2 linked regions of the Arabidopsis thaliana genome follow. The protein of the gene in region 1 interacts with the protein of each later gene in a biochemical or structural test. Each region holds a gene or a part of one and is shown on either strand. Other genes may lie near its edges. The genes, in order: LARP6c and PAB2.

What was found.
Region 2: the proteins of LARP6c (region 1) and PAB2 interact in a test that uses a peptide from one of them, tested with the Arabidopsis thaliana proteins (one study listed by BioGRID).

Annotation. Positions count from the first base shown.
Region 1 is NC_003074.8:6,594,316-6,609,434, reverse strand, and holds LARP6c (RNA-binding protein), read right to left. Parts: upstream 7,995-15,119; 5' UTR 7,970-7,994; coding exon 7,517-7,969; intron 7,358-7,516; coding exon 7,276-7,357; intron 7,135-7,275; coding exon 7,040-7,134; intron 6,952-7,039; coding exon 6,719-6,951; intron 6,641-6,718; coding exon 6,562-6,640; intron 6,486-6,561; coding exon 6,438-6,485; intron 6,351-6,437; coding exon 6,282-6,350; intron 6,195-6,281; coding exon 6,069-6,194; intron 5,990-6,068; coding exon 5,726-5,989; 3' UTR 5,513-5,725; downstream 1-5,512. Other genes in the region: AT3G19100 (Protein kinase superfamily protein), read right to left, coding at 455-598, 691-858, 953-1,015, 1,095-1,202, 1,310-1,422, 1,530-1,905, 2,008-2,116, 2,223-2,264 and 2 more; AT3G19085 (F-box/RNI/FBD-like domain protein), read right to left, coding at 9,224-9,367, 9,460-9,849; AT3G19080 (SWIB complex BAF60b domain-containing protein), read right to left, coding at 10,768-10,893, 10,965-11,137, 11,212-11,271, 11,370-11,544, 11,680-11,797, 11,889-12,039, 12,463-12,637, 12,717-12,819 and 1 more; AT3G19070 (Homeodomain-like superfamily protein), read right to left, coding at 14,458-14,585, 14,670-15,119. UniProt on the Arabidopsis thaliana protein: Transcriptional regulator.
Region 2 is NC_003075.7:16,329,137-16,345,595, forward strand, and holds PAB2 (poly(A) binding protein 2), read left to right. Parts: upstream 1-7,154; 5' UTR 7,155-7,595; coding exon 7,596-7,863; intron 7,864-8,096; coding exon 8,097-8,215; intron 8,216-8,402; coding exon 8,403-9,059; intron 9,060-9,148; coding exon 9,149-9,226; intron 9,227-9,301; coding exon 9,302-9,391; intron 9,392-9,658; coding exon 9,659-9,796; intron 9,797-10,030; coding exon 10,031-10,201; intron 10,202-10,303; coding exon 10,304-10,453; intron 10,454-10,537; coding exon 10,538-10,756; 3' UTR 10,757-11,178; downstream 11,179-16,459. Other genes in the region: AT4G34090 (cyclin delta-3), read right to left, coding at 30-87, 185-227, 318-392, 537-620, 728-974; CER9 (RING/U-box superfamily protein), read left to right, coding at 1,454-1,789, 2,044-2,727, 2,834-3,595, 3,688-3,899, 3,979-4,347, 4,507-4,667, 4,751-4,914, 5,008-5,154 and 1 more; LEJ1 (Cystathionine beta-synthase (CBS) family protein), read left to right, coding at 12,058-12,270, 12,371-12,458, 12,547-12,611, 12,797-12,845, 13,109-13,161, 13,286-13,401, 13,533-13,590, 13,683-13,757; UGT73B3 (UDP-glucosyl transferase 73B3), read right to left, coding at 14,132-15,577; UGT73B2 (UDP-glucosyltransferase 73B2), read right to left, coding at 16,340-16,459. UniProt on the Arabidopsis thaliana protein: Binds the poly(A) tail of mRNA. Appears to be an important mediator of the multiple roles of the poly(A) tail in mRNA biogenesis, stability and translation. In the cytoplasm, affects both translation and mRNA decay.

The sequences.
Region 1 (15,119 bases):
TATGACTTCTATTGATATGGATTATGGAATCTTGAGAAGCAAGTTTTTCCGAATTTGAAATATTAATAGCTCTCTGTTACTGTAAGTTTTGTGACTTAGGAATGGGTTTTTATGATTTGCTTTGTGGCACATTGTGAATGGAATCTGAATCTTTTTCCTGGAAAAAATGGAGACAGCCAAATGAAAAGAGAAAGGGATGTTCTTAATATCTGTCTTCCATGATTTGGAAGAACACGACTGTGGATTATCATCTTATTATACAACTCTCCAGGCCTGTCGGATTTTTCTGGATACTCTCTTTCTTTGTCGGAACTTAGCATTCTTTTTCTAACACTATAAACATAGGAATGGGTCCTGAAAAAAATTCCAATTCCCAACCCCAATCCACCCATTTGCTTCTTGCAGTTGTATGTTCTTCCTCTTTCGAATCCGTTATAACACCGAGTCACTTTCCTCATCGCGTTTTCGCTAAAGATTGTCGAGTCGAGACACCGTGCAGCAGTTTGACAAAACCCAAGAAACTCAGCTTCCCGTCAGTATGTCTTATCCAGTCATTTAGAATGGTATGAACCGGGATGGATGATCCAACACCAAGTTCCTACAAAACATTTATGTTCCCTTCGTTTAGGAATTAGCTGAATAAATTGTTAAGCATGACAGAAGCAAGTGTCGAATTTCTTATAAACTTACAGAAGCGAGTTCTTCGATGACGATAACTCGGTTTCCATTCATTTCAAATAGCTCATAAGCATGACGAATGCTCTGCTCCCAACAATCAAGAGACTCATGCTGATGAACGCTAATGGAAGCTGCACAAAACTCTTCAAAATCCATCCCTTTGTATTGAAGTCCATTTAACTGTCATTTCCCAACACCAAACTTTCGTTAACCAACCTTGGATTGTATCTTAAACAGATTAAGCAAAAGGACAAGAACAGAAAGGAGACAATACCAATGCAAGAAAGTCCGGGATCCGTGATTCCTTCATTGCTTCTGTTGCATTTGTCGCAAGTGCCTGTCCAACAGAAATAAATCTAGCTTTGAGCTGTTTGCTTTCTACCAGAGAGAGACAGAGAGGAAGAGAAGGCACATACCAGTCTGATGCTATCTAAAGTGATGAGGCCATTTTTGTTGGGTGCTAAGTGTGCAAACTGCGCTTTCAGATAAAGAAGTTCATCGGTAGTTAATGTCTTGGACAGAGCCTGGAGAGAATAAAAGAGTTAGCAAACTAGATACAAAGGTAATAAATATCAAACACATCCTTAAATGTTGTTTGGAAACAGTAAAAAAGGTTAGAAGCAAAATGTACCATCAAAGCAGCTTTGCGCAAAGACGAAGATCTCAAGTATGCTTTGATCTGCTTGAAGATCAGAATATCAAATGGGATATCTATTTTCTTATAACCCGCGATCCAAGGATGCACTGTAAAAACCGGAAAAAAACGTGGAGTAACTTCAACTGGTGATTCATGAAAAGCTAGAAACAGAAGATAAATATAGAAAGATGTGGATATTTTAGAGATTACTGACTCAAAGCTTGAGATGCAGTCATTCTTTTCCGAGGGTCCTTGTACAATAATCTCTTAACAAAATCTTTTGCCTCAAAGGATAACGAAGGCCAAGGAGGTTCATCAAAACTGGGATCAGCTTTTAGAACTGCTCTGAAAATTCCTGATTCAGTTCTTGCCCAAAAAGGACGGCTTCCACATAGGAGAATGTATGCTATGACTCCTATGCTCCATACATCCGCTTCTGTGGTATAAGATCTGTGTAGAACTTCAGGGGCTACGTAATATGCACTTCCCACTATATCATTTAGTCTTTCGTCTGGTCTGACAAAGTCCGATAAGCCAAAATCTATGACTTTCAACATAGAATTCTCCTCCTTGGAAGTGTACAAGAAGTTCTGAAACATGAAAGTGTTTCAAATGTGAGATTGGTATTCAACTAAGACAATATTTCTTTTGGGTTTTGAAAGGAAAAAGCAAAGACAAAAAGTGCGGTTCACCTCTGGTTTTAGATCTCGATGAACAACTCCTTGGAGATGACAGAAAGCTACGACGTTAAGGATCTGTATAAGCACTGCTTTTGCATCATCTTCAGAGTATTTTCCTCCCCTGTAAGAGAAGTAAATTTGAAATAGTTAGACAGCCAATAGAACATCTCTAAGAAGGATCTCTGACCATAAGTTAACAAATGTCATAACAATCTTTAAAAGCAGACCTTGCTAGTATCCTGTCAAGAAGTTCACCACCTCCACATAACCTGAAAGTTGAAAGAAAGTAAATGTTTATTCACAGCTAAACATTTTGAAGTAAGCCAAGTCGGGAAAATAAGAATCTGATAGCTCTCCTAGTAGATTCAACATGACACAGGAATATATAAGCACATGATTGTCTTACTCCATAACGATGTAAACGTTGGCATTGTCCTCGAACGCATCATAGAATTGTACCAAATTTTGATGTCCAGATAACGCCCGCAGTATTTTCACTTCTCTTCTCACATCCTCTATAGATATTGCAGATGTCATCTGCCAAACCAAAGCTGATGAGAAACAGTCTATTGTGGATTAAGCTAACACTAAACCTATCTGTATATTACACCAACTAACTCGATTACATGATTAACTTTCTTAGTCATCAAATAAGGACCATCAAAATTTCAATTGCTTAATGACAATTGACAAAAGCACAAATGTCCATGTTCCAATTTATTGACCAATTTAAAACGTTTAGAAATGTTCACAGAAAAGTCAGCAATGCTAATCTACAACCATTGAAAACTTGGCTATTGAAAAACATGGATGAAACATAAGTGTCATTGACAAACTTCAACCTCATCTGTGTTCGCTATTACTTGTTTTTGTATTAATTTCTATGCGTGAAAGTCTACATACGCTATCAATTTTTTCAAAAAGATGGCTCAAACAAGAGGACAGTAAGCTCGTAGAGAAGAACAGAAACATCTCAAGAGACCGTAATGATCAAATTACAGGTTCATCATGAAGCAAAAGGAGACTATGATGGTTTGTTCTTCTACCTTGAAACAGTTTAACATCTACTAAACAAATCAGACAAGACACACAAAGAATCTTCAATTTGTCAGATATAGCTATCACTACAATGATGAAGCACTTGAGCCAATTGAAGCAGAAAACTTAAGATGGAAACTTGAGAATTTGGAAAAAGTAAAGCTGTAAAAATGACCTTAGATTTTGGGATGACTTTAACAGCAACCTCCTGATCTTTGAGCTCTCCTTTCTTGAACTTAGCAGAGCAAGTATACCCAAAATGCCCTCTCCCAATCTCTTCCCCTAGCTCAATCCTACTCTGTAACTCCTTGGAAAACCCAAATCTTTTATCCAGCCCTACCTCTTCCCTCTCCTCCTCCTCCTTCTGCTGCCTCGCCGCCGGCAGAGCAGCCTCCTTCTTCTCCTTCCTCCGCCGCAGAACATCCCGTATATGTCTCGCCGGTGACGGAGGGTGGAAAGCACGCGCGAGCTGACGGAGAGGAGTGCTGGTAACGCTCTTACTCTCTCCTCCTCCGCCGTCGCGGCTCTTGTTACGGCGGTGCCGGGCGGGACTAGGCGTGTAAAAAGGGAAAAAAGGAGAGGCCTTTACGGCGGGAGATGAACGAACCGGTGATTTCCCGGGATGAGCAGGGGTAGAATCGTCATTTTGGAGAACCGCGTCTTTGGGTGCGTAAGGATTAGGTTTGACGGAGGAGGAAGGTTTGGAAGTACAGCCTCCCATATATCCTTCTCCTTCTTCTTCTTCTTCTCCGGTTCAAAGAAATAAAAAAAGACAGAAGAAGAAGATATGGGAGTTATGTCTGGACTTAAAGAGAATCACAGCAATGACATTGAAGCACTCTGGTTTGGTTTCAATGTAGTTAGAGAGAGACAGAGAGAGAAGAAGTGAGCTGTAGAAGAGAGAGAAGCCACATGGCAGAATCTGCGGGTGGTGAAGTAGCTTCCTTCCATCTGATGAAGAAGGTTAGATTTTAGATGTGGATTGGTCGAAATTTAGTTTGCTTTTTGCCACGTCTTTCTACTTTTGTCCCTCTTTTTTTTTCTTTTTAATTCACAATATGTTTGTTCTTTCTCTAAGCAATACTATACGTTTTCTTTTGCTTTTGTATTTTATCTATCATTATTTTTTGTCTTTTTTTCTTGTCTTTTTTGTTGTTGATATTGTCTTTTTGATATCTTATTGGGAGAATAAAAACGTTTTGAAATGTATTTATGGACGTTATCATTTTCAAAAGTGGGAATTAAAGATAACTTTTAAAGCTCCATCTTGTGATACTACTAAATTAAATATTTTATTACTAATTAACTAGGGAGGTTATAAAAGATACAAATAATATTGCTCTGAAAATCAGGATTTACGTTATATAAATTGATTGGATGTACCTGCTTGACCCTTTTTGAAACATGCTGATGTTGTAACCTAACAACTTCATTGTATCTGGACAGGTCGTATATCAATTTCAATTTTTAATAAGATTTCATCATTTTCAAAATATTTGATCCACATCTCTAAGTTCTTTTTTTCTTTTTCTTACTAACTCTTGATTTGAAAATCTCTCTCCAATACCAATCGTTAAGATCAGTTTAGTTATCATTATTTCTATCTACCAATCGGTACGTAATTTAGTATAGACTATGAAGTTGGTTTACTGATATTGCATGTTTGGTTTCATGTAAATACATGTCCAACAATTTCCATCCTTTGAAGGTTTTCTATTAATTTGGGAGTAAAATTAGGTTTTGTTTCAATTAAAGATTATACATTTATTATAATTAATATGATACTATAAATTAGTTTGTTTGACAACTACCATAGGTTATGAAATTACTAGACAACCTTGGCAAGAACTTTTGTTATCTCAATACTCATTTGTCTTTTCACTTATTTTTAGAAAAAAATTGTACATTGAATCCATTTTTTTTTTTTTTTCACAACATTGAATCCAATCTAAGGTCATTGAAAAATGTCTTTTCAAGTATTGGGTTTTGTAAACAAAATCCAATCGAAAAATGGCAATTATTGTAAACAAAACCCACTTCCTTATATTGATTGAGATGAATAATGGATTCAATAAGTGACTCCGCCTTCTTCAAGGTTGTTAAAGAATTGTCGAATATGTCTTAAAAATTAATATATATCAAACCGGTTAAAAAACCATTTGGGAATGTCAATAGATACAAGTTACTGGAATTAGTTAGGATGCAAGAAGATAGTAACATTTTACCTGATTATTTCCTTTCTTGTGCTTGTGCTTTTTATAAACTATTCATCATGTTTTTTTAGTTTTTCTTTAGAAAGAAAATTGATTAGTTTTCAAGTTTCACCCAATCTTTCAGTCACTTATTCAAATCCATTACTCATCTAAATCAAAACAAAGAGTTGAGAGGGTTGCAATTCTTGTGCTATATAAATTACCCCTTTATTATTCAAATAATAATCTCACAAAAATAAAACATATTAAACATACAGAAAAGAAATTGCCTCAAAAAATGAAAAAAGTTATATAAAACGAACCCTCAAAAAACGTCACCGTGCCTTCACTATCTTCTCCCAAGTCATGTGCCTTGCTTCTTTTGAATGCATCTTAGGAAAACCAATCCATATGTATTATTTGGTTAATTAACTCTAAAATCTTTTACCTCTATTATAATAAATCAATTATAAATAGCAGTCCTTGTGGTGGGTAACTATTTAGAGATTGTTAGGTGAGAGTGAGATGGAAGGTTTGCCACGTCCCATGGTGAAGCCTCTGGTTCCATCAGGCATTCTTGGTCCCTTTGTTGCTGTTTTAGGAGACGAAGATTCGTGTGACCCCAGGCTGGGTATCCCGAGGCTGACTCCGAGCCCAATCCCGAAGCTACGTCCTCCTCCTCCTACTGCGTAGCTTCTTGGGGATCGTCCTCGTCCTTTTCCTCTCCCTTTACCCCACAGTCCACCAACATTGTTGTCATCACCCTAACGTGCACAGCAAGAAAATTTAGTTTCTATATATATATGGAAAAACATTTCGTGGGACTTAAGCAACAGTACTAACATCGTTATCAAGCTGTGATTCGGTTAAATGGAGACGCGGAGAGTCTTCTCCTGATTCATAAGAAGGGAGTTCATCATCGATGAGGATTCCATCGAAGTTTCTTCGGTTCTTGAGCACCGATTTTGGCTGTAGCACACAAAGTATATCAACGAAATTAATCTCAGAACGTCTAGAGAGAAATGTGTGACTTAAGAAGAGAATATAGAAATCAACCGAGCATCTAAGAAGCAGCCTCACACGAAGCCCTTTCCTCCAGTTTCTTTCATCGTTTAGCTTCTCTACCTGGTAAGATCGCATTTGCTATATATCTCAGAAACTAATAGACAGAGCCTTGGATCAAAAGATAGTTGAAAGTAGAGATTTACTCACTGCTTTGTCCGCGATAACAGTGTTGTCATACTCGATAAGGGCGTGAATCTTTAGAGTAAAACAAGATGGATATGTTAAGCTCTTTAAGTTGACGTGATAAGTAGAAACAGGACTTGGTACTTACTTTGTTGCTCATCAAGAAATCGCCTTTTGGACGAGACGAGTTGGATTCTGGAGGATGACATATACGAATCGCTTTGACGCTGAGACAAATTGCATCCAGAGTTGTTGTTTATTGATGTAGAGAAAATGTTTAAAATGAAAGTAAAAAGCCTTCTTACTTTCCAACAACTCCAAAGATCTTCTCAAGGTTCTGGTAAGAATGATCATCTGGCAAATTCTCTGCAACGACAGTCCGGCCCTGCAGAACAGTAAAGAGTAACAAGAACTCATATATAGTTGATAATAAATACAATGAAGCTTTAGTGATATTCAAATTTACCTGCAATTCCTCTCTGTCTCTATCAGTAAATTGACTTGTACGCTTAACTTTCTTGCCGTCTTCACTCACAACCTTAATTGTGTTCACAAAGATCTCTCAGTATACTTGGATCTTATAATATTTAGTTGGTAAGTCGAGAGTAAAGAAAGAAGCAGCTTACAAGTTTTGAAGAGGAGCGTAGAGCAAGTGAAACTAGGTGGTGATTACTCGTTAAAGCCTTGATCTTCTTGGTCGAAGCGATATAGGATACGGGCACTGCGTTTTAAACATATATATGAATATGCAAAACAGAGCAGAAATCTCAAGGATCATATTTTAAACATATATATTAATGCAAAACAGAGCAGAGATCTCAAGGATCATATACAAGTTAAATGAAAAAAAATTTAGGCTTACCATAACCTTCAGGGTCTTTGCTTATATGCTTTGAAATGGACTCGTTGGCTAGGAGACTCATGTCCGTAAACTGGTACTCAACCTATAAAAGTGGTTTCTTGTGAGTCAAGTTAGGTTTTCTATTTTATGAAAATTGATAGGCTAATGTAAATCATATATGATCTTAAGATCTCATGACATAATGATTTTCAATATTTTACCTATCATTAAAGTAAAAAAAAAAAAAAAAAAAAGTGAAAACCTGTTTGACGATCTTAAGGCGGAGATCATCGGAAAGCAGATTCTTCGACGAAGAAGACGAGTTCTGACTAGCCGGAAACTGAACCGCCGGATTCGAAATGTAAAACGCAGCCGCTGGATCATGAACATGTTGATGCTGAGCAGTAGGATCTCCTCCTCCCACGTAGATCCAATCCGACGACTGAGTACCAACGCCGGTCCCTCCACCACCGCAGACTCCGCCGCCACATCCTCCTATGCAACCACCGTTGTAATGAAAACAAGGATAAAAGTAACCGGAGACAGGAGAAACCTGCGGTGCTGGTGCGGTGGTATGTGATCGCGGTACAAATTCCGGCGCTTGAGCGTTGAATTTGAACGCCGTTGCCTGAGCGCCGGAAGATCCACCGCCTCCGTCTAATCTTTTCTTCTCCGTCGTGACGGACTCTACTTCTTCTCGCTGCATCTGCGCCATTTTCCTCTCACTACTCTGAAAAAATCTCTAACAATTTTTTTTTTGGTTTTTCTTTTTTGTGTAAACTATATTTTTTAAGTTAATTTTTTTTTCAATGTAAACAAATATCAATACTGAATAGTTTTGAATTTTGTTTATACTTTTTTTCTATTGATTTGATTTGTTCTTCTCGGTTATTTCTCACTCTCCCAATAATATTAAAACATGGGAAAACTTTTGAAGCCTTGTTTTTTCGCGCAAACTATGGATTTTTAACGAGATAAATAAGCGTCCACGTTTGACTGTGTATTTAACTCTCCTTTTTTTTTTTCTCTCAAATTATTTAGCTATCTCTTTCTAAGTAATAACACATTTTGTTACATATATAAAATGAAATTTACACAATATACATTAATAAAGAACTAATATAAAGATTCATATTGCTTTTGTTCTGATTTGGTATTTTTTTTTGTCATTATAATTGACCATGTAATGTATGTTTTATTTGTCGACCCATATTAATAGATAAAAAAATGTTAATTTTACTTGCTGACTGTAAATTGCTAAGTTTGGAATCACAAACAAGACAAAAGCCCAGGGTTGATTTTGTACTTTTGTTGTCTTCCCGATTGCTAAGTTTGGAATCACAAGAAGTTGTGATGCAAGAATGTTTCAATTCTACTCGCCGTAAAATTGCTAAGTTTGGAATCGTACAATAGTGTACTTTTGTTGACTTCCCGATTTAATACCCAAATTTAGTTGATTTTGCCATTTTGATTGAAACATTGTAGAGAACATAACCGAATGATTTAAACCAAAATGTAGAAAACAACAAATGTTACTCATGTCTCCATATTTATCATAACAAAAGATTTCTAAGTAGATATTCATGAATGACATTTTCAGTGGATAATGATCTGACAACGCGGGTAAAGCTTAGTGAATTTAAGAAGCTCCTTGAAGATATCTGAATCTTGGTTTGCTTTAGAAAGATCTTCAAAACACAGAATCAGTTTCTTGATGAGAACTACTGAATTCTCAAGAAAATATCTCACTAGTTCCTTCACGGTTTCTTCCATGATAATCACTCTCTTGATCTCACCATACTGCAGATTGATCTCAACACTCTCCAGATTCAATAACATACACTGAGGCACATGGCTAAGTTTGATTTCCTTTGCCTCTCTTAAATCAGAAAGCACCTGACAATATATATCCAACAATTAATGTACTTCCTACTAATTAACAAAATCACAGATTCAAACAGATTCTTACCTATATGAGATTTTTCAGGTTCGGGAAGCTCTCAAGAAAGGATGGAAATAGTTCTAACATGGATCTAGAGAGTGTAGCTTCCAAACGAGTCAAGTTATCAAATTTGGGAAATTTCCGTCCCAATTTGGAATATCGAAAGAGGACCTACACGAAAGAAAGAAACAAATTTACATCAAGGAAGATCATTAAACTATATTTGAATGCTAGAAGTATGCATGGAAGTGAATATATATTACCTCTAGAGTAAGCTTAGAGATGATCATATGTCTCACACTAGAGATACCAATGAGAAAATCGCGGATAACGTTTCTCTTTCTTGGACCCAAAGTTTTCCCATACTTAAGATGAAAGTCACTATTGATATCGACCATGGAAAGAGAATTCAGATTCTTCAACACAATCTTATCAGATTGACTATCACTGAAAGTCATACACTTGAGTGCTGGAGCATCAATCTCAACTGCAAAAGCTTTACCAGTGGTATTAAACTCAAACGCGAACAGAAAGCTCTTTAAAGTCTGAGACCTCACACGCAGAGAAGGCATAGCTTTGTGGCGCTCATCATCAGGCAGAATTAAGGCAAAGTCTTCAAGAACAGGACAACCTGCGATGAGTTTCTCCATCATCGTACGAAATGTCTGCAAGATGCATGCTCTTGAGACAAGGAAGAGAAACACCAAGCGGGGGATCCAAATCCATAATCCCTACGTTTGCAAGCTTCAAAGACACCAATGTGTTGCTGTTATAATTCAGCTCAGTCATGTAATCTCGGCCAGAACGATCCATAAGAGACTCCACATCTAAATGTTGGACTCCGCGCTCAACCACTGTTTTGAAAAGAATACTTGTCTGCTTTCTCTAATTCTATCATTAGGTATTTAGAGTTTCTAGTTATTGAAGTGAACTATTGTCAATTGGTTGGTAGAATCATGTGTAAAGCCACAATTTTCGTCAAATGGTCATGGTCATTTCACGGCACGAGAATTTGAAACATGAGCCATTCTATGCAATAATCTTTGACATGTTTTGATGGTAAAGTTTTGTAAATTACTAATAACTTTAATAGAGAACTTAAACTTATATGAGATTTAACAAAACGCTATGACCAACTGCTGAGCATATTCAATCAGCGACAAAACCTTGTAACAACATTTTCGGATTCTGATGCATAACAAAATTCACTGTACAACTAAGAATATGCAAAACGAGGAAATGATCAAAACAATTGGTTTGGTCTTAAAACATATATTATCCTTGAATTTGGTTTCTGTCACTATATACCAAAAAGGGCAAACATTTGAAAGAACTCAAAAAGGCTGCACTTGCAAGCAAATTCAGAAAACGCAATGCTTACAAGTCTCACAATCGAGATACCTTTTTAGTCTTTAACTTACCAGTAAAGTGAAGGAGGAGACCAAATCAAATCCAAAATGGCTTTGTCGCGCGTTACAAGTCCTGAACCGACCTCTACTGATCCAAAAAAAATGTCCAGGAAAGGAGAACTGGGTTTTGCCTACGTGGAAAACTGGCTACTTCCTAAAGAGTCATTGTTCGGCCTTGATGAAGTGGTTGGTCAGAAGTTTTGAGACTGATGTGTCTTCGAATGAATCAACTTCAAAGAGTTCTTTCAGCTTCTCATCGCATATGACTCTCCTCTTGTCAGAAGGATCCTAAGTTAAGAAAATGGTGTAAAGAAGCAGGTAAGTAAGAAAAAACAGAGTGTAGAGAGCAAATGGCATACCTGAAGATCATTATGATTTATGTACTCCCACAATCTCTTTACCACATCCGCCCTCGACAGCGAGTTTTCTCCATCACCCAAGAACTTGACAAGAGCATCTGAAAGTGGAAGGGGAGCAAGAACTTCTTTCTTCTGCTTTTTATCTTTCTCATTTGGTTCCTCACTATCTGTGTCTGACCGAATGCATATGCTTTGTTTATACAGTGATGAGAAATGGGATAAGTTTAAATTCATCTAGCTTTCTTACCTCCATCTGATTCCATTTTTTGCTTTCCATTCTTTGGAGACTTAGAGCTAACTGATTCTCCTAGACCAGAGACAAACAACAGTTAGTATACGGTTAAAAAGCCTAAACCGGAAAAAGATGGCTCCCAGAACATGTAAGAACTTCCAGTCATCAAATACCTGCATTATCCTCTAAAGGCCATATGTGCTTTGTTAGCTGTTTATTCATTTGAAACATATTGATGGACTCGACAGGGAACAGAGATCGAAATGATTCGTCGCATATTATAGAGCGTTTATCATTCGGATCTTGTAAATTGTTCTCCTTTATGTACTTCCAAAGCAATTTCACAACCTGAAACCATTCACCAGACAAAATGTCAAAACAAGAGACTTGGTTAAGAAAATTAGACAAGTAGCTTAGAAATTTAGGCTCAGAGCTTGAGTTCAATAACGAAGAGAAACTGATTCCCTCGAGTCAGACATGTACCTCTGTCCTGGCTAATTCTGTCACCCCAGTAAACGCCTGAAGCTCTGGCGAGAGGCTGCAAACTTTAGCAAAGCCGCCTCCTCCTTTTCTCTTGGGCTTCTCTACCGACTTGGCTGGCCTATTTAATAGAGAAAACTTAGTTTATGGGCACAGGGTGGCGATAACTAGCTGTACAATTACAAGAACTGAGGGAGAAAGAGAAAACAAACTTTTTTCTCTTGCGTTTCCGCAAACTCCTAACTTCCTGCTCTTCACTTTCTTCTTCCTTATTCTCTTCCACTTCTTCGCTCTGCTCCCCTTTCTTATCTGTTCCCTCTGATGCCTCATCTTCATCTTCTTCTTTCACATCGTTAGCACACCCTGGAAAAAATAAATCATTTCATTGTACTTGGGTAACACAAACTCAGGAACTGCTGTCTCCAACCCGAAATCTATAATACTGTTTTACTAAACAAAATTGATGTTCATTAGAGAGGTCTCTTGAACAAATATATAAGCATCCTAACAACTCAAACGCTGAGGGAAAATATCAATATTCAACACTATTAACAGTTGATGAACACTATTTCCACACAATTACACATGATCACTCTCTACAGTGGGGTACTTGATTTCAGACACATGATACAATGACTGACTGAACAGGAAGACTAGGGATATTTAGCTGATCTAGCTATTTAGGATCAATGACTGACTGAACAGGAAGACTAGGGATATATATACAGATATCATGCAGTCTCATGTGAAAGTTTTCTGAATTGTATAATGACAAGGAAGAATTACCATCTCCATCACCTAAGGGCCAAATATGCTTGGTTAATGCCTTGTTCATTTGAAACATATTAATGGTCTTAACACGGAACAAGGAATGCAACAACTCGTCACACACTATCTTCCTCCTATCCTTTGGGTCTTGCAAATCCTTCTCTCGGATATATGCCCACATTTTCTTCACAACCTGATAAATATACACAACACAAAAGACTAAAGTACAATTCCGCTTCGCAGAACAGTTGTCGGAAGAAGATGAAAATTACCTCGGTTCGACCTAACTGAGATGCTCCAACAACTTTCTCAAGTTGTGGAGATAACTGAGATACTTTGGTAATGCCACCACCTCGCTTCTTGGCCTTTACTGGCCTAACACATCAATGAACAATAATCCCTTAAACTTAAGTCATTAAACAAGTGGTCTTTGATTAGAAATGCATCGGAAGCATTTTGATTGGTTCGATTGAAAAATGCTAAAGATTCCTATAAATACTCAATCTTTGTGTGTGTGTATGATCACTGATTCATCGATATTTGAATTTCAAAAATCCAATTTCACATAAAGCACAATCATTACAAGAGTAATTACCGTTCTTCCTTCTCTTCCTCACTTCCACTTCCATCTCCGTCGAGGTCTTCTCCATCGCCTCCTTCAATTTCCGCCTTGATTTCGTCGGCATTAATGTATTCTTCTACCTTGGGACTCTCAGGTTTGTCTTCTACCGCGCCATTGCTCTCGAGAAAAGTATCGATTTGATCCCTAATATACGCTTTTTTATCTGTCAAGTCCACACCGAAATCCGCCTCCAACTGACGACGGACGCTTGCCGGAGTCGCCGTGTTCAGGTCGGAGCTACCGAGAATCTCACGGAGTCGGGTCACGAGGTCCAAGTCGGAAACCATTTTTTCCGTTACTGAAGAAAACAAAAATACGAAGCGGCTGATGAAAGCCAAAAACGATTCTTTGAGGTTGAAAATGAGAGAGGGCATTTATGGAATTTACAAATCGTAACCTCGTCGTTTTGCTACTTCAACCTTTTTCCTTAATTATTACTACGCCTTAGATGTGTTCGATTACGACCATAGTTAGAAACTTATGTAATTATGATTACTTCAACCTTTTTCCTCGAATTAGGTGTGCACCAAAAAAATAAAAAATGCCTAGGTGTTCCATTACAAGTTACGACCATAGTTAGAATATATTTATGATAAAAATTAACACCTTTATTGCATTTTTGGTTATCATTTGCTTGGAATAAAAAAAAGAGTTGGATATTTCTCTTCTAGAAGTAATAGTTTCATTTTAGACCAAAAAAAAAAAAGAACTAGAAGTTTCATCACCCAAATATTTATTTAAAGATTGTAGTTTTGAGCAACTCATAATAATCTTTCTTCCCTGAGGTCATATCTGCCTAAGAAGATTAGACCACAATATGAACAAACATGAAAAACTTTTGATTCAACGAATCTAAATGTCAAGACATACCCTTATGGGGGGAGAGAGGCTGAGACTTATCTGTCAAAATTAAGAAAAGAAGGAGAAGCTAAACAAATTTTTCTACAGCCTGCACCAGCAATGGTGGTCTCTCTTAAGGTCCCTTACAATATAAAAAAAAAAAAAATAATTAAAATGGAAGGGACACAGGAGAGAAGGGCTCCAAAAACCCTTATATAAGGGACCTGAAGATTAAATGTACATGTGTAGGTTTTTTAGTTGTCAAACTATGTTAAAAAATTAAAATATTATTATTTTTTGGTTTTTTAGGGACTGTCATCATCCCACCCATTGGGGTTGCTCTAATAGATTGTGATAAATGATCACTCATGCGTACAGTAAGAATGTTATTATGGTTAACTTTTTTTTTTTTAATAACTCCAACATTAACATAAATTCTATTATGATATAGTAATTGTTTGTAATATGCAAGATTAACAACAAAAGAAAAAGAAACGTTCTATACTATCACTCTTTCTATTTAATCCTATCTCTCATCTTCAATATTTTCTTCACTCCAAGGCTAATTTGTCTGCAATAGCCTTTTGACGATCCCGCAAGACTTGTAAGTGGCTACGGATCTGGTCACCAGTGAGACCCTCTTCAGAAATTAGTTCGTTTATGGCTTTGGGTGTTGCACCTGAAAAAAAAAAAAAAAATTAGGAAAATAGTTAGGAGTTGAAAGAATAAACAAAATAAATAAAAAAATTATAAAGTTGCATACTGAATAATCCCCCAAGTCTGACAACTGCGTCATCAAACACTAGTTGAAGCCTATTTGTCCACACCAAGTCTGGGTTTCGGATTGGGTTTGGGATTGGGTTAGGGTTAGGATTAGGGTTAGGGTTTGGGAATAGAGCAGGTAGGCCTGGAGAGATCTGTGGTATTGGGTTTATGAAATTTGGTATTGTTGGTTCTTGGGCCTGCGGACGGAGAAACGGGTTAACAAACGGTGACGGAGAGGAGGATAAAGGTGACGGAAAGATGTTACTAAGCCGTGCTCGCTTAGATGATGATGATTCGGGTGGCTGAATAGAGGATGATGGTGACGACGGAAAGAATTCCCTCAAAGATGGTCGATCAGACGAATCGGGAGGTCGAACAGAGTATGGCATTGACGACGGAAAGAACGAAGATGTTGCGAGAGTTGAAGATGAAGATGGCTGATGAGAGT
Region 2 (16,459 bases), on another chromosome or scaffold:
TACGTATAAACAGAATGAGAAGTCTTTACATTTCTAGCTATAAGCCTGACTCCACTCCTCCAAACTTCCACAACCGGCATATCCATTCTGTTCTCGAATACAAAAAAGTTAAAAACCAAGAATAACCCAACAACATATTTTTACTACTGCAAGAGTTACCAAGAAAGAGATCCAAATCTCTTACCCTGGTGGAGCAGTAGGCCATCTCAAAAGCGCAGTAACAGAGCCTACTTAGACAAAAAAAAAAACCAGAAAAACAAAACTAAAGACAAGCTCCTGGAAAAAGCTAATGGATTCTATCGAAAGTGTGGTCTTACCTGACGAATTCTTCGAAAGCGGAATAGCAAGAGGGATCAGTCCCTGCTTAGCTCCAGGAGATATGATTGTCTCACCTGCAGAAGATATATGAAGCAACTGAGACTTTAAGAACCATAAGTTTCCCTTTCTCCATTATTACAAATCCAGAATAAGTGATGAAAAGAAACGAATACATAAGTTTGGACATAAATGAGGAACAAAATTGAGCATTATTTTACCTCTTGTTTGAAGCACTTTGAGTAAGTGATGAAGATGCATTGGAGGTTCAGTGGCAGCAACATCTTTGATAAATGATACATGCCCTACACAACAACGCTAATCTTAAGTCAATCCCAATGTGTCTCTTTGGAAGAATTATTACACATTCTTTTGTTAATTTGTTGTCTCCACCAAGAATAATCAAAAAGACAGTCATAGTCACTGCATTTTCCTACAAAAGATTGTTCTAAAATACTCAACAAAGATATAAGCTCAAGCATTTTCTCGATTTGAAAAGCCATCAAACAATCGACAATTACTATAATTCGACAATCACATGCAATTCTCACAAACGGAGGAAAAACGAAATTACCAGAAGAGCAACAAGAGACTCTAGCTCTGAAATGGCGTATAGGGAGAGCAGTAGAGGGAGTTATGTGCATCGAAATCGAACCCATGGCTTCTTCTTATCTCTCTATCTTTCTCTTCACTCTGCTTCCTCAACCTCACAGAATTTTCGTAATTCAGCAGTAGCAGCAAAAGATAGCCATTGATTTTGTTTCTGATTCAGCAAAAAAAAAAGAAAAAAAAATGAGATGGGCTTAGTCTGTTACAATTTAAGGCCCAAACCCAACAAAGACTAAAGACGCGTAACCGACAAAAACCGTCATTAAATGTGCAAGAGGGAAGGTCAATTTCGTCAACTACCGGTTTACAAGACCCGGTTAGGCCTACCATATAATCAATTTTCTCGGTGTCTTTGATTTTTTTTCCGATCTTTTTCTATTTTAATTCTCGAGGATAATAATTATTCGCGATAGACGACGCCTTTCCTCTTAGCTCGGCGTTATCAGACTCACCGAGTCGACTCGCTCCGCCGTTGCCGTCTCCGTTACCACCGTCTGCGCAATACGTAATTCATAGCCCGGATTTCTCTATGGAGATTTCCCCGGCCGATTCGTTGTCCATCTCTGGCGCGGCTGCTTCTGAGGTCGTCTCCGAGCCTTCCGTATCTTCTTCTTCTTCCTCTTCCTCGCCGAATCAGGCATCACCCAATCCTTTCTCAAACATGGATCCTGCAGTTTCGACGGCGACAGGATCGAGGTACGTTGATGATGACGAAGATGAAGAGGACGTTTGCAGGATCTGCAGAAATCCTGGTGATGCAGACAATCCGCTTCGGTATCCGTGTGCCTGTAGCGGAAGTATCAAATTTGTTCACCAGGATTGTCTCCTTCAGTGGCTTAATCACAGCAACGCTCGTCAATGCGAGGTTTTGTTTCTTTTCCTCTTTATTATTTGATTGTTGAGATTTTGAAGATTCGTATTCTAATTAAGATCTGGATTCGTGTTGATTTGAATGCCTTTTAGGAATTTTGATATGGGTAAATGAATGGGCAATTGCATATTTCTGTGTGCTCATATTCAACGTTGACAGTTTAAAGTCTTCTCTTTTAATATGTGTTTCTTAAGTAGGAGTTCCACATAGAAGAGAACACGTGCTTATTGTTAATTTCATCTCTGCAGGTTTGCAAGCATCCTTTTTCATTCTCCCCAGTATATGCTGACAATGCTCCGTCAAGGCTCCCTTTCCAGGAGTTTGTAGTTGGCATTGCTATGAAAGCTTGCCATGTTTTACAGTTCTTTCTGCGGTTGAGTTTTGTGCTTTCTGTCTGGCTTCTCACTATACCTTTCATTACATTTTGGATATGGCGTTTGGCTTTCGTGCGAACTTTTGGTGAAGCTCAAAGGTTGTTCTTAAGCCACATCTCCACCACAGTAATTCTCACTGATTGCTTGCATGGGTTCTTACTATCTGCAAGTATTGTCTTCATCTTCCTTGGAGCTACTTCATTAAGGGACTACTTTAGGCACTTACGAGAGCTTGGGGGACAAGAAGAGAGAGATGATGATGTGGACAGAAATGGTGCTCGTGCTGCAAGAAGACCTGCTGGACAGGCTAATAGGAATCTTGCTGGAGAGGGGAATGGTGAAGATGCTGGGGATCAGGGTGCTGCGGTTGGTCAGATTGCTAGAAGGAATCCTGAAAATGTTCTGGCAAGGTTGGACATACAAGCAGCTCGTCTTGAGGCTCAGGTTGAACAGATGTTTGATGGGTTGGATGACGCTGATGGTGCAGAAGACGTTCCATTTGATGAGCTGGTTGGAATGCAAGGTCCAGTGTTTCATTTGGTTGAGAATGCCTTTACTGTAAGTTGATGTTTCTACTTTTTGGCAATGTATATTTTAAATTCTATGTTCCTTCTTCTTCACTATTGGCCCTTATTAAATCTTCATGATGTGCATAATTTTGCAGGTTCTAGCAAGCAATATGATATTCCTTGGTGTTGTTATCTTCGTGCCCTTTACCTTGGGACGGATTATATTGTATCACGTGTCATGGCTTTTTGCTGCTGCTAGAGGCCCTGCTGTGGCTGCATCATTGCATCTTACAGATACCGGACTCTCATTGGAAAATATTACTCTGAAGAGTGCGCTGACTGCTGTCTCGAATTTGACTAGCGAGGGCCAAGGAAATGGGCTGCTTGGTCAGCTCACTGAAATGATGAAAGTCAACGGAAGTGAATTGAATGGAGCAAACAATACGCTATCAGTTGCTACTGATCTCCTGAAAGGTTCTACTGTTGGGGCCTCAAAGCTTTCTGATATTACAACTCTGGCTGTTGGGTACATGTTTATCGTATTTCTGGTGTTCCTTTACCTTGGGATCATTGCACTGATTCGATATGCCAAGGGTGAGCCACTGACTGTTGGAAGATTTTATGGTATTGCATCTATAGTAGAAGCTGTACCATCCCTCCTTAGACAGTTCTTGGCAGCAATGAGGCATCTGATGACCATGATCAAAGTTGCCTTTCTTTTGGTCATCGAGCTTGGGGTCTTTCCTCTGATGTGTGGTTGGTGGCTAGATGTTTGCACTGTTAGGATGTTCGGTAAAACAATGTCCCACAGGGTACAGTTTTTATCAATTTCTCCTCTGGCAAGCTCACTTGTTCATTGGGTTGTTGGAATCATGTACATGTTGCAAATAAGCATCTTCGTCAGCCTTCTTCGAGGGGTACTGTGTTGTCCCTACTCATTTTCATTCTAGAAATAGTTTTTTTCGCTGCTGCTATCTAAATATATCTTTTCACTTTGTGCCAATTGCAGGTTCTTCGTCCTGGAGTTCTGTATTTCCTTCGTGATCCAGCAGATCCTAATTACAATCCATTCCGAGATTTGATTGATGATCCAGTGCACAAGCATGCTCGGAGGGTACTGTTATCAGTTGCAGTGTATGGAAGTTTGATTGTGATGCTGGTATTTTTACCAGTCAAACTTGCGATCCGGATGGCTCCTTCAATCTTTCCACTTGACATATCGTAAGAAATATTGACTAACCTCTTGTTTTTGGAGATTTTGTGTTTGATTAGGTCTTTCCTAACTTGGGCATATATGCAGTGTATCCGACCCATTCACTGAGATTCCCGCCGACATGCTTCTGTTTCAAATATGCATTCCATTTATCATCGAGCATTTCAGACTTCGGACCACAATTAAGTCCCTTCTACGCTGCTGGTTCACTGGGGTTGGTTGGGCGCTTGGTTTAACAGACTTCCTCTTGCCAAGACCAGAAGACAACATTGGTCAGGACAATGGAAATGGTGAACCAGGAAGGCAGAACAGAGCACAAGTGTTGCAGGTCGGAGGACCTGACAGGGCCATGGCTGCGCTTCCAGTAGCTGATGACCCTAACAGAAGTCGCCTCCGTGCTGGGAATGTCAACACGGGTGAGGAATATGAAGATGATGACGAACAATCTGATTCTGAGTAAGTTCTTACTTTAAAAATAAGCTAATAGCTTGTTTGATATTAAGAATTTTGGCATACTTGAATAAATTAACAGGACTTTTCGCTTGGTATATAGAGTTGACTAAGTACTTTAAGACTCCCATTAGGGCTTCCCCTGATATGAATGTATATTTTTAGCAGGTACAACTTTGTGGTCCGGATAATTCTCCTTCTACTTGTTGCATGGGTGACTCTTCTTCTCTTCAATTCAGCATTGATAGTTGTGCCAGTTTCGCTGGGACGTGCTCTATTCAGTGCCATTCCCATTCTTCCAATAACTCATGGCATCAAGTGCAATGGTAATGTTTGTTAATTTTGATCTTCTGAGTCATTCTTTGGCACGGGTTACACATTATTAACAGTATTCCCTAAAAATATGTAGATCTGTATGCTTTCGTCATTGGCACATATGCCTTTTGGACTACCATATCTGGGGCCAGGTATGCTATCGAGCATGTCAAGTCAAAGAGGACTTCAGTCTTGCTTAACCAAATATGGAAATGGTGTGGGATTGTATTCAAGAGCTCGGTGCTGTTAGCCATATGGGTAAGTGTTTTGTGCTGTTAAATTTTCAATATACGAGAAACTCTAAACTCTACTAAATGTGGATTCTGTACTTTTCAAATGGTGATTGAACAGGTTTTTATCATTCCGGTGCTAATTGGACTTCTGTTTGAGCTTTTGGTGATTGTCCCAATGAGAGTCCCAGTTGATGAAAGCCCTGTGTTCCTCCTGTATCAAGACTGGGCTCTTGGGCTCATCTTTTTGAAAATCTGGACTAGACTGGTAAGTAATTTTCTCCAACAATCAGCAACTTATTTCCGCAGAAGAAGATATTTTGTCACTAAAAAACAACGTCAATGGACAGGTAATGCTGGATCATATGCTTCCAATAGTGGATGATAGCTGGAGAGCAAAGTTTGAGCGGGTAAGAGAAGATGGCTTCTCGAGGCTTCAAGGGTTATGGGTACTTAGAGAGATTGTGTTCCCGATCGTCATGAAACTCCTAACGGCTTTATGCGTGCCTTATGTGTTGGCAAGAGGAGTGTTCCCAATGCTCGGATATCCGCTTGTTGTGAACTCAGCGGTCTACAGATTCGCGTGGATAGGTTGTCTTTCAGTGAGCCTCTTCTGCTTCTGTGCAAAAAGATGCCATGTCTGGTTTAGAAACCTTCACAACTCTATCCGTGATGACCGTTATCTCATTGGTCGGAGACTGCATAACTTTGGGGAAGCTGCTTTAGCTAATCAAAACCAAAACCAAAGTAGTGAGGATGCAGGAGATGGTGTCTTGATAGGACGAGAGGGAGATGTTGATAATGGACTTAGGCTCAGACGTGCAATCCAACAAGAAGCTTAGAAAGAAACTGTGCACTGAGGCGTTTAACATTTTGTGTACTTAAGCCGTTAAGAGATGGCTTTGAAAGATTTATTATTAGTCGATGTGTAAATTATTATATCCGTTGATGATTCTCTTTTTTTTGTTTTTGTGTACGAAACTAAAAGATCTTTAGAATAATGCTTCGTTTGTCCATATGCCTTGTGTGTTTCTATGATAATGCTTCTAGAATACCTTCGCTTACTGCAAATTCTTGTCTTTTGTCTCTTATGTTAGTGCATGTAAGCCTTAAGGAATTGGCGTTGAAGATCTATTTGGCCGATGTGTGATTGTAGACATACTCGTTGATACTGTTTTTGGTTTTTTATTTTCCAACAGAATAAAAATAAGAGGAATGTTATAACCCCATTAGATAGATGTCCATATCAGGTTCATCTCAGACCCATATGCTTCAAGGGTTATGGGTACTTAGAGAGATTGTGTTCCCGATTGTGATGAAACTCCTAACGGCTTTATGTGTGCCTTATGTGTTGGCGAGAGGAGTGTTCCCAATGCTCGGATATCCGCTAGTAGTGAACTCAGCGGTCTACAGATTCGCATGGATAGGTTGTCTCTCAGTGAGCCTCTTCTGCTTCTGGTTTAGAAACCTTCACAACTCTATCCGTGATGACCGTTATCTCATTGGTCGGAGACTCCATAACTTTGGGGAAGCTGCTTTGGCAAAACCAAAGTAGTGAGGATGCGGGAGATGGTATCTTGATAGGACTTTAGGGAGATGTTGATAATGGACTTAAGGCTCAGACGTGCAATCCAACAAGAAGCTTAGAAAGAAACTGTGCACTGAGTCGTATTAACTTAGGCTTGGAAATATTTACTAGTCAATGTGTATCCCGTTGATCCTCTTTTGTTTGTGTATAATATCCAAAGGATCTTAAGAAATGAGTAATGACGCTTCGTATATATATATGCCTTGTGTGTTTCTACTTTCTATTGTAATGCTTTTTGAAATGATTGCGTATTGCAAAATCTCATCTCTCATCTTATGTTCTTTCGTGTCACAATTCTACTGGAAGGCCAATCGTGTATTAAGTTGAATTGTTTTGATAAGTCAAATCTTAACATATTGGTTATTTAATTAAGATACTTTTTGCATACCATATAAAATCGTGCGGTAAATATTAATATTAACAACTTTTACTTTAGGAAAATCAAAATTCATCAAGATCCAGTGAGAATATTGCTAATCAGAGTTAAGAAATGTTAAGATAAATCAAAGAAAATATCATCACTGTACAAAATTTTAACAAACTTGGTTACTAATTAGATTCGAAAGTGTCAAACACGCGCGTATCTGTTTGACTTTTCCGAAAGTGACGAGAAGGAAGACGACCTTATCAATTCACCAGCAACTCTAAAATCAATCCTACGATTTACTTCAGACTCGATCCAACGGCTGAGATCAATCTCACACTCCTAGGGTTCTTCTAGGGGAATTAAAGGTTTCTTTTTTTTGTTGGGTTAATAATATAAAAGCAAAGAAAAGGAGAAACCGTAATGCTTCTTTTTCATCTATCGTAATTGTGCTTGTTTCGCCTAGAATCTCTCGGCCCCCAAATATCTCACTCGCCGTCGCAGGCTTCGCCGCCGGCAATTTCTTACCCTATTTCATCTTCCCTCTCCTCTGATATACCCATAAAAACACAAAAAAAACGAAAAGATAAAAACTTTGGCTTTAGTTTTGTTGATTTTGTCATTCGATTCGATTTCTTTTTCTTCTTTCAAATTCTAGGGTTTTCGATTTGGTTTCAGTCTAATAACGAGAGGGGAGGGAAGAGTAACTAAAACCCCAAAAAAAGTCAAAAAAGTTTCGAAAATCCAAAAAAAGATAATGGCGCAGGTTCAACTTCAGGGTCAGACTCCGAATGGTTCGACCGCGGCGGTCACTTCTGCTCCGGCGACGTCAGGTGGAGCAACGGCGACCCAGTTTGGTAACACGTCGCTTTATGTGGGGGATCTCGATTTCAATGTGACGGACTCGCAGCTTTTCGATGCGTTTGGCCAAATGGGTACTGTGGTCACCGTTCGTGTCTGTAGGGATTTGGTCACTCGCCGATCTCTTGGCTATGGATACGTTAACTTCACCAATCCCCAAGACGGTTAGTCTCCTTAATTTTATTTGGACTTCTTCTTACAATTTCCAATTTTTAGGGTTTGCTCGATAGTACCAGTACTGGATTTGAATGAGGTGTGTTTTAAATGTTGATACTTTATGGTGTTTGTATGTATGCAATGTGGTTGGTGCTGTTGGAAAGCTTATCCCCTGCTTAATCAATCTTTTTAATGCTACTTCTGTCTTCTAATGGTACTTTATCTCGTGTCTTTGTTGCAGCTGCAAGAGCGATCCAAGAACTGAATTACATACCTCTTTATGGAAAACCTATTAGGGTTATGTATTCTCATCGTGATCCTAGTGTTCGCCGAAGTGGCGCTGGCAACATTTTTATTAAGGTACGCTTGTCTCTATCCTTCTGACATTTGAGTTGCTGTAAGACGAGATGATTGTTGCGAAAAAATTTGTATCTTGTATTATTCATTGAAAAGTCTGGCAAAAGTAGTTGATTTCTTTAGTTATGTAAGTTTTTTTATTGGGTGTTCTTTCTCTCTTTCTGATGCTAAACCTGGCTATAATATGCAGAATTTGGACGAGTCCATCGACCACAAAGCACTGCATGATACTTTTTCATCGTTTGGAAACATTGTGTCGTGCAAGGTAGCTGTCGATTCTTCAGGCCAGTCAAAAGGCTATGGGTTTGTGCAATACGCCAATGAAGAATCTGCCCAGAAAGCTATAGAGAAACTGAACGGCATGTTGCTCAATGACAAGCAAGTGTATGTGGGTCCTTTCCTGAGGAGACAAGAAAGAGACTCCACTGCTAACAAAACGAAATTCACCAATGTGTATGTGAAGAATCTCGCGGAAAGTACTACCGATGATGACTTGAAGAATGCTTTTGGCGAGTATGGAAAGATAACAAGTGCTGTCGTGATGAAAGATGGAGAAGGGAAGTCCAAGGGCTTTGGGTTTGTCAACTTTGAAAATGCTGATGATGCTGCTAGGGCTGTGGAGTCTCTCAATGGGCACAAATTTGATGATAAGGAGTGGTATGTTGGTAGAGCCCAGAAGAAGTCAGAGAGGGAAACAGAATTAAGGGTCCGTTATGAACAGAATTTGAAGGAAGCTGCAGACAAGTTTCAAAGTTCAAACTTGTATGTTAAGAATTTGGATCCTAGCATTTCAGATGAGAAACTTAAAGAGATCTTTTCTCCTTTTGGTACCGTTACATCTAGCAAGGTTCAATGTCCCTCTCTCTCTCTCTTTATTTGTAGTGAGTTGACTCTCCTAGTTCATTATTTAAGAAGTTCTTTTATTAAATATTACAGGTGATGCGGGATCCTAATGGAACAAGCAAAGGCTCAGGTTTTGTTGCTTTCGCAACTCCCGAAGAAGCAACTGAAGCTGTAAGTCAGTTGTATCGTCTTGTTGATTGTATTTATGAGGACTTTGATTGTTAGTAACAGTGGAATACTGTACAGATGTCACAGTTGAGCGGTAAAATGATCGAAAGCAAGCCACTCTATGTGGCTATTGCACAGCGGAAGGAAGACAGAAGGGTCAGACTACAGGTTTGCTTCTCTTGGAATCACCTCGTCTTGTGATACACTTACTACTCCTACTTTGCCTGTTGGAGTTTCAACTCTAAACAATTGGACCCATCATGTACAAGTCTTAGAATGTCCCACTGCGTATAATTATCAATACTGATGCTGATTCTTCTTTATAATCAAGTGCAACAATATATAAAGCATAAACAACATATGTCCTAGTATTTTTGTATCACAGAAAAATCTCTTTTTTCTCCTGCTGCTGAGTATTTGCATTGATGTGAATAGGCTCAGTTTTCCCAAGTGAGGCCAGTTGCAATGCAGCCGTCTGTTGGTCCCCGCATGCCAGTGTATCCCCCGGGTGGTCCTGGTATTGGACAACAAATGTTCTATGGTCAGGCCCCTCCTGCCATGATTCCTCCCCAGGTAATCTTCATGTTACTCTACTTTAAGTAGCCGTGTACGATTTTACACAAAGATATGCACATGTTTATTTTCTACCTTGGGTATAATGAATTACAAGCTGACAGATGCTTTTAAGTCACATGAAAAGTTTTTAAATTCTTTAGCTCTATAGTTGCTATACTCATACTTGAGCCTTTCCAAATCTATTTTGAAACTGCTGGGATAATATTAACCTGTACTTATGCAATGCCACAGCCTGGGTATGGATACCAACAGCAGCTTGTTCCTGGAATGAGACCTGGTGGGGGTCCTGTACCCAGTTTCTTCATGCCTATGGTTCAGCCACAGCAGCAGCGTCCTGGAGGAGGAAGACGTCCTGGGGGAATCCAACACTCCCAGCAGCAAAATCCCATGATGCAGCAACAGGTTCTTCTCTTTTCCTTATTTAATTGCAATAAAGGCTGCTTTGCTTGCTTGGCTCTCTTTTAATAGTTGATCGTATGGTTTTTCTGTTTGGATGGTGGTTAGATGCATCCAAGGGGTCGGATGTTCCGGTATCCCCAAGGGCGTGGTGGTAGTGGTGATGTGCCTCCATATGATATGGGCAACAACATGCCATTGACTATTGGAGCTTTGGCTTCAAATCTGTCTAATGCTACTCCAGAGCAACAGAGGACGGTGAGAGAATCTCTTAAAAACCAAATAGAGAGACTGGTTTTGCTTGGATTATAATAATGTGACCCTTTGGGTGTGTTTGTACAGATGCTGGGTGAGGTGCTGTACCCGTTGGTGGAGCAGGTTGAGGCAGAGTCTGCAGCCAAAGTGACTGGGATGCTTTTGGAGATGGACCAGACTGAAGTGCTCCATCTGTTGGAGTCACCAGAAGCTCTCAAGGCCAAAGTTGCAGAGGCTATGGATGTTCTCAGGAGTGTCGCTGCTGGTGGTGCAACCGAGCAGCTCGCTTCCTTGAACCTCTCTTAAATTGCTTTTTATCATTTGATCTTTGGCTTTTGTCTCTCCCATACAATTGGAGTTGTTTCTTTGCTATTCGTTTTCTCCCTGGGAATTTGGATTCCTCCACATAACTGCGTTTGTGTTATTTTAAACCTTCGTTTTTAAACCACAAAGGAAAAACCTATCTGCTTTGTTCTTTTGATTTAGTTGCGTGTTCTAGCTTGTTCGATCTAGTGTTCACGGAAGATGAATTTGATTACCAATAAGGCCAATGCTGGTGATCCCCCTCTTTGGCCTTTTGACTGTTGGTGGTTGTTGCTTCTAGTCATTTTTTTTACCAGTTTTTCAAGCTCTATTTTATGGTAAAAAGGTGTCCTGGTAAAAATGGATGAATGGGTCTCATTCTCAGCAGACAATGTTTGAATGAGAAAGAAATACATTTTAAACTTTTTATACACTTTGCTTCTAGATTGATTGGGACTAGTCGAATAGAAATCTTAGTAGAGGTCTAAGGAAACATGATACACATCTTGTTTGGTTGAAATCTTACCATTGTTTTTGGTTTCAGTTATTGATCTGGTTTTTGGACTACTTTTTCTGCAACTATTTGAGAATGAGAAATTACTTACCAAAAAAAAGAAAGTCTTCATCTACGCCAAGGATTTAGAATATTCGTACATGAATTTTGATTTCCAGTACATTGCGTCATGAACTATATAGTCTACTTGTTTTTTTTTGTATCTATTTGACATGCAGCAAAGCCAGCAACACATCTTTTATTGAGTCTGATGATATTTGTGAACTAATTCGAAAATATTTAAAAGATTCGAGTGTATGAAAGGTTTAACTATTATCAAAATCTCTAGATATTTCAACTGATGGCAACACTCAACAATCTCACAATCACGACATAAAAATCCAATAACACTTGAAACCAAAAGAGGGTTCAAATTAGGGTTTCTTGTTAAATCGAAATTGGACTTTTATTTATTTATTAACATCTGACTTTTGAGTTTTGACCAAAAAAAAAGATGGAAAATATCGCTTTGAAATTGAGGACCCAAAGGAAACGTAAATATGCCGACCAATCAACCATATACCAAAAATTGATATGTGGCTATGTCCCCACCACCACCACCTATCATATCACAAGTTCTCTCTACTTTTCTCCGAATTTTACCACCCAATCAAAACGCTTCTCTCTTCTTCTACTTCTTCACTTCTCTCTCCTTCAACAAAATTTTCTACCTTTGTTTCTTCTCTCAGATTTCATAAAGAAAAGATTTAATCTTTCATTGGAATCTGTGAGTAACAGAGGATAAGCGAATATGGGTTCAATCTCTTTATCCAATTCTATGCCCATAACTCGACTTCCACTACTTACATCACTCTATCATCAAAGCTTCCTTCCGATTTCTTCTTCATCTTTCTCTCTTCTTCCTCTCTCTAATCGTCGTCGCTCCTCCACTTTTTCACCGTCAATCACCGTCTCTGCCTTCTTCGCTGCTCCTGCCAGCGTTAATAATAATAACTCTGTTCCGGTGAGTCAACTTTGCTCCTTTTAGATAAATCCTTTTATTTACCTAATAACCCTTTTGGCTTATGGTTTGAGATTTGTTTTGGCTCTTTTGGGTGTTTCAGGCAAAAAATGGAGGTTACACAGTTGGGGATTTCATGACTCCGAGACAGAATTTGCACGTTGTTAAGCCCTCTACGTCGGTCGATGATGGTAATTATGCGGGAACAGATTTTCCATGAATTTAACAGTCAATCCTTGTACTAGTCTCGTAAAAATTGTCTTTTTGGTTGTCTTTCAGCGTTGGAACTTCTGGTTGAGAAGAAAGTCACGGGATTGCCTGTAATTGACGATAATTGGACACTGGTAAAACTAAGAAACTATATCTTTTGTCATTGTGTTCCTCTGTTTAGAGTCTTGAACAACAAGCTCGTGATTAAACTTAGTCATGAATAACAAGCAACGTCGGTTTAGTTACTGATTTATTGGATTTAGAAGTTAACAAAATATGCTTTGTCTTACTTACTCCTCTGCTGTAATTTCTCCTGCAGGTTGGTGTTGTTTCTGATTACGATTTGCTTGCATTGGACTCCATCTCTGGTAATATATACATGTTTTTTGTACTCAAAAGTATTCTTAGATCTTCTGTTGGTGTGATGATCACCACTCTTTCAGTTTCATTATAATCAGTTAAGAAGGGCTTAAGTCATAATCTACTTGTAGGATTTCACTTCTGGACTTCTGGTGGATCTTAGTTTTGTTGGCACATAGCTTTCATGTTTAGTTTTGTTGTCATGAACGTTTTATGGTTTTGTATGGCGCAGTTTGGTGAAAACAACTTAACCTCTTGTCCTTTGTAACAGGTCGCAGTCAAAATGATACAAACTTGTTCCCTGATGTCGACAGTACCTGGAAAGTATGTTTCTCCCTATCTGTTTATCTACGTTTTGCTTTATCTGAGGACTATTGTTTGTTTCATTTGCATGAATTTCCTTGGAATGAGGTTTACTTATATAATGCTTGAATTCTCTTTTGGCCAGACGTTTAACGAACTACAGAAACTGATCAGTAAGACATATGGAAAAGTTGTTGGAGACTTGATGACACCGTCTCCTCTCGTTGTCCGTGATTCTACCAATTTAGAAGATGCAGCCAGGTATCTTCTTCTTTATGTTTTCGCTTTGCAAACATTAAGTTGAGAGGCTTAGGAGGAATGAGTTCAATAAGATTTTTCTGGGGACATTATAAGCAACGTTCTTACAAGAACTGTAACCATTTGGTCTTCAGGTTGCTTCTGGAAACAAAGTTCCGAAGATTACCCGTTGTTGATGCTGATGGAAAACTGGTAAGCATCCCAATTCTTCTTCTTTCTGCAGTTTGATTTTGGTCTGATCTTTTCAGTTTCTAAACACTTCTTTTTGCTTTCCGTGCAAGAAGATTGGGATCCTTACAAGGGGAAACGTTGTAAGGGCTGCGCTGCAGATCAAACGGGAAACCGAGAACTCTACATAGCTAGGAAGCAGCAGTGATGGAGCAGATCTGAATCTGCCATAGTTAATAGCGAAATCTATTTATTCCATTGATATAAGTATATATGTAACCATTCTCTGTCAATTTTCGGTTTTCAGAAGCAATTTTTGTTACTTTAGGAGTAACATTTCTCAGACTCGGAACTGAAGACAAATGGTATATTTGATACATATATGTTTATTGTAGCACAGGTCTACTCTTATCACCAAGACAAAGACTAAGCAGAATCGAACTAATTTTCAATTTCTTACTGAGGTCTTTTCAATGAAGCTATTCAAATCGAGAAACGAAGACCCTTTTTTCTCCACCGCCGGCTTTGGCCATCACAGCCTCTTCTCTGCCATATTCTCTGCTTATTACGAGGTAAACTCTTCTATGAAGCTGTTTAGATCGTTGAAAGAAGACCCTCCTTCCACGGCAGCTTTAGCCATCTCTGCCAACTTCTTTGCCCTCTCCCGCCTCTCATCCGCCTCTTCCCCAACCAACACCTCCCTCACCGCTTTAACCACTTTCTCTCTGCTAATGAAATCTCCCGTAGTTCTTACATTCTTTTTCGCTCCCACGCTCACTCCTGTTCTGAGCACTTGCGTAACCAATTTCTCATTGTAGAATTGCTCCGCTGCTACAGGCCATGTCACCATTGGTAGCCCTGCAGCCACTCCTTCCAGAAGCGAGTTCCAGCCGCAATGGGTCACAAACCCACAAGTTGCTTGATGATCAAGTATGAGCACCTGTGGTGCCCATCCTCTTATAATCATCCCTTTTCCTTTCACCCTCTCTTCGAACCCTTCTGGTAACCATTCTTCTTTTTCAATACCTATGTTTTTCCTAACAACCCAGATGAAATTTGCTCCAGAAGTTTCTAATCCTGCAGCGATCTCGAATAGCTGCTCGTTCTTGAAGCAAGCCACGCTCCCAAAAGAAATGTAAATGACTGAATCTGGTTTCTTGGAGTCAAGCCATTTGAGGCATTCAACCTCATTAATGCTTGCTTTCTTTCCTCTCTCAGCCTTCTCCTCAAATCCTCTGTTGTAAACCGAAAGCGGACCGATATGCCACGCTCTCTTCAGTACAACACTCTTGTAAAAGTCGGCGTAATCAGGTTCAAGCTCGTAGAAGCTGTTTACAATAACACCTGAGCTCTTCACATCAGATTCTTTGACCTCAATCATAAACTTCCCCATCTCGCTTTCTTCGTCACGGTCTGCTATCTGTTCTTGAGTTATCACTATGTTCCCCGGGAGATCAGGAATCACAAATGGCTCGTACCTTGAAGCTACTATGTTTTGTGGGTTATGCACTCTGATGCAATATTCAGAGCATAAAGAAAAGTAGCCAGTACCGTGGAACACAAGTCTTGGCACATTGAACTTCTCAGCAGCTTCCGTAGCCCAGGGGAAGAACATGTCGGCGATAAGACAGTCTGGTCTCGTTGTCTCGAGGAGCTTCTCAAGCTGATCTTTGAAAAACCTTGTCGACTTAAAGAACTTCAAGGTCAGATACTGTCTATCATCATTGTTGTTTGAGGTGAAGAAATCGACGTTTTCGCATCCTTCTGGTAACCCGAGATCCACGCAAGGGAAATCGAAGATCTGGATGTCGATTTCGAAACTCGGATTCAGGTTCTTGAATCTTTCGATGGGTTTTTGGAAGATCTTGGAGTTGAGAGGTGTGGTGAGGATTGTAGATTTGGCTCCTCTGCTAGAGAAAAGCTTAGCCATGTCTAGAGTTGGTATCATGTGACCATAAGCCATGAAAGGGAAGAACACAACATGGAGCTTACGATGAGGATCACTACTCATGTTTGACTTTGATCGAAAAGAAAATTTAAAAAATAATAAAAAGAAATCAGAGATTTTGAAGCTCCTAGAAAAGTGATGTTTTCTTGTCGTGTTGAATGATGTGGTAAGAGCTTATACTTTTATACATATCTATATATAGCACATAAAATCCACACGGAAACTTGAATTCTGGGGAGACTATTTTGGGTAATAACGATTTTGACGTCGTGACATACGTCACTTGTTTCCGGTACGTCTTTGCATACGTCGCTTGTTGTTTAACTTATTATTTTGGTAAATGTCTTAATCATGACAATAAAGTGTTTTACTAATCGTCTATGTAAACATCTAGTACTTTATTGTTGTACATGTACGAAAAAATACCAAGTAAATAAAAACAGTTATACTTTTGTTTTGCCATTTACGGAATTATTTATTTCTCTAATGGATTGGGTCTGTATATTAGAGGAAAGTGAGACAATAATGTGTGGGTTAGTGGTCCACCAGTTAGAAGAATACAAATTGCAACTCGCCTTGTGTGGGTTAGTGGTCCACCATTATTGTTCAACAAATTCATTGTTAGCATTTGAAAATAGTGAATCTTGAACCATTGATTTTCTCCTAACAAAACAGAGGATTATGCTGAAGATAATAGAGACTTAGAGTGATGTCTATGGTAGAGGTTGCTGCCATTTGAATTTAACTCATATCTCTTATATTTTACATTAGCTTTCATCTTACTTCTGCTATGGAATTTCTAAATAGAATCTATATATATGAAGATTATGAACTAAACTCTTCCATGAAGCTGTTTAGATCGTTGAAGGAAGACCCTCCTTCTTCCACGGCAGCTTTAGCCATCGCCGCTAGCTTCTTTGCCCGTCTCCGCCTCTCCTCTGCTGC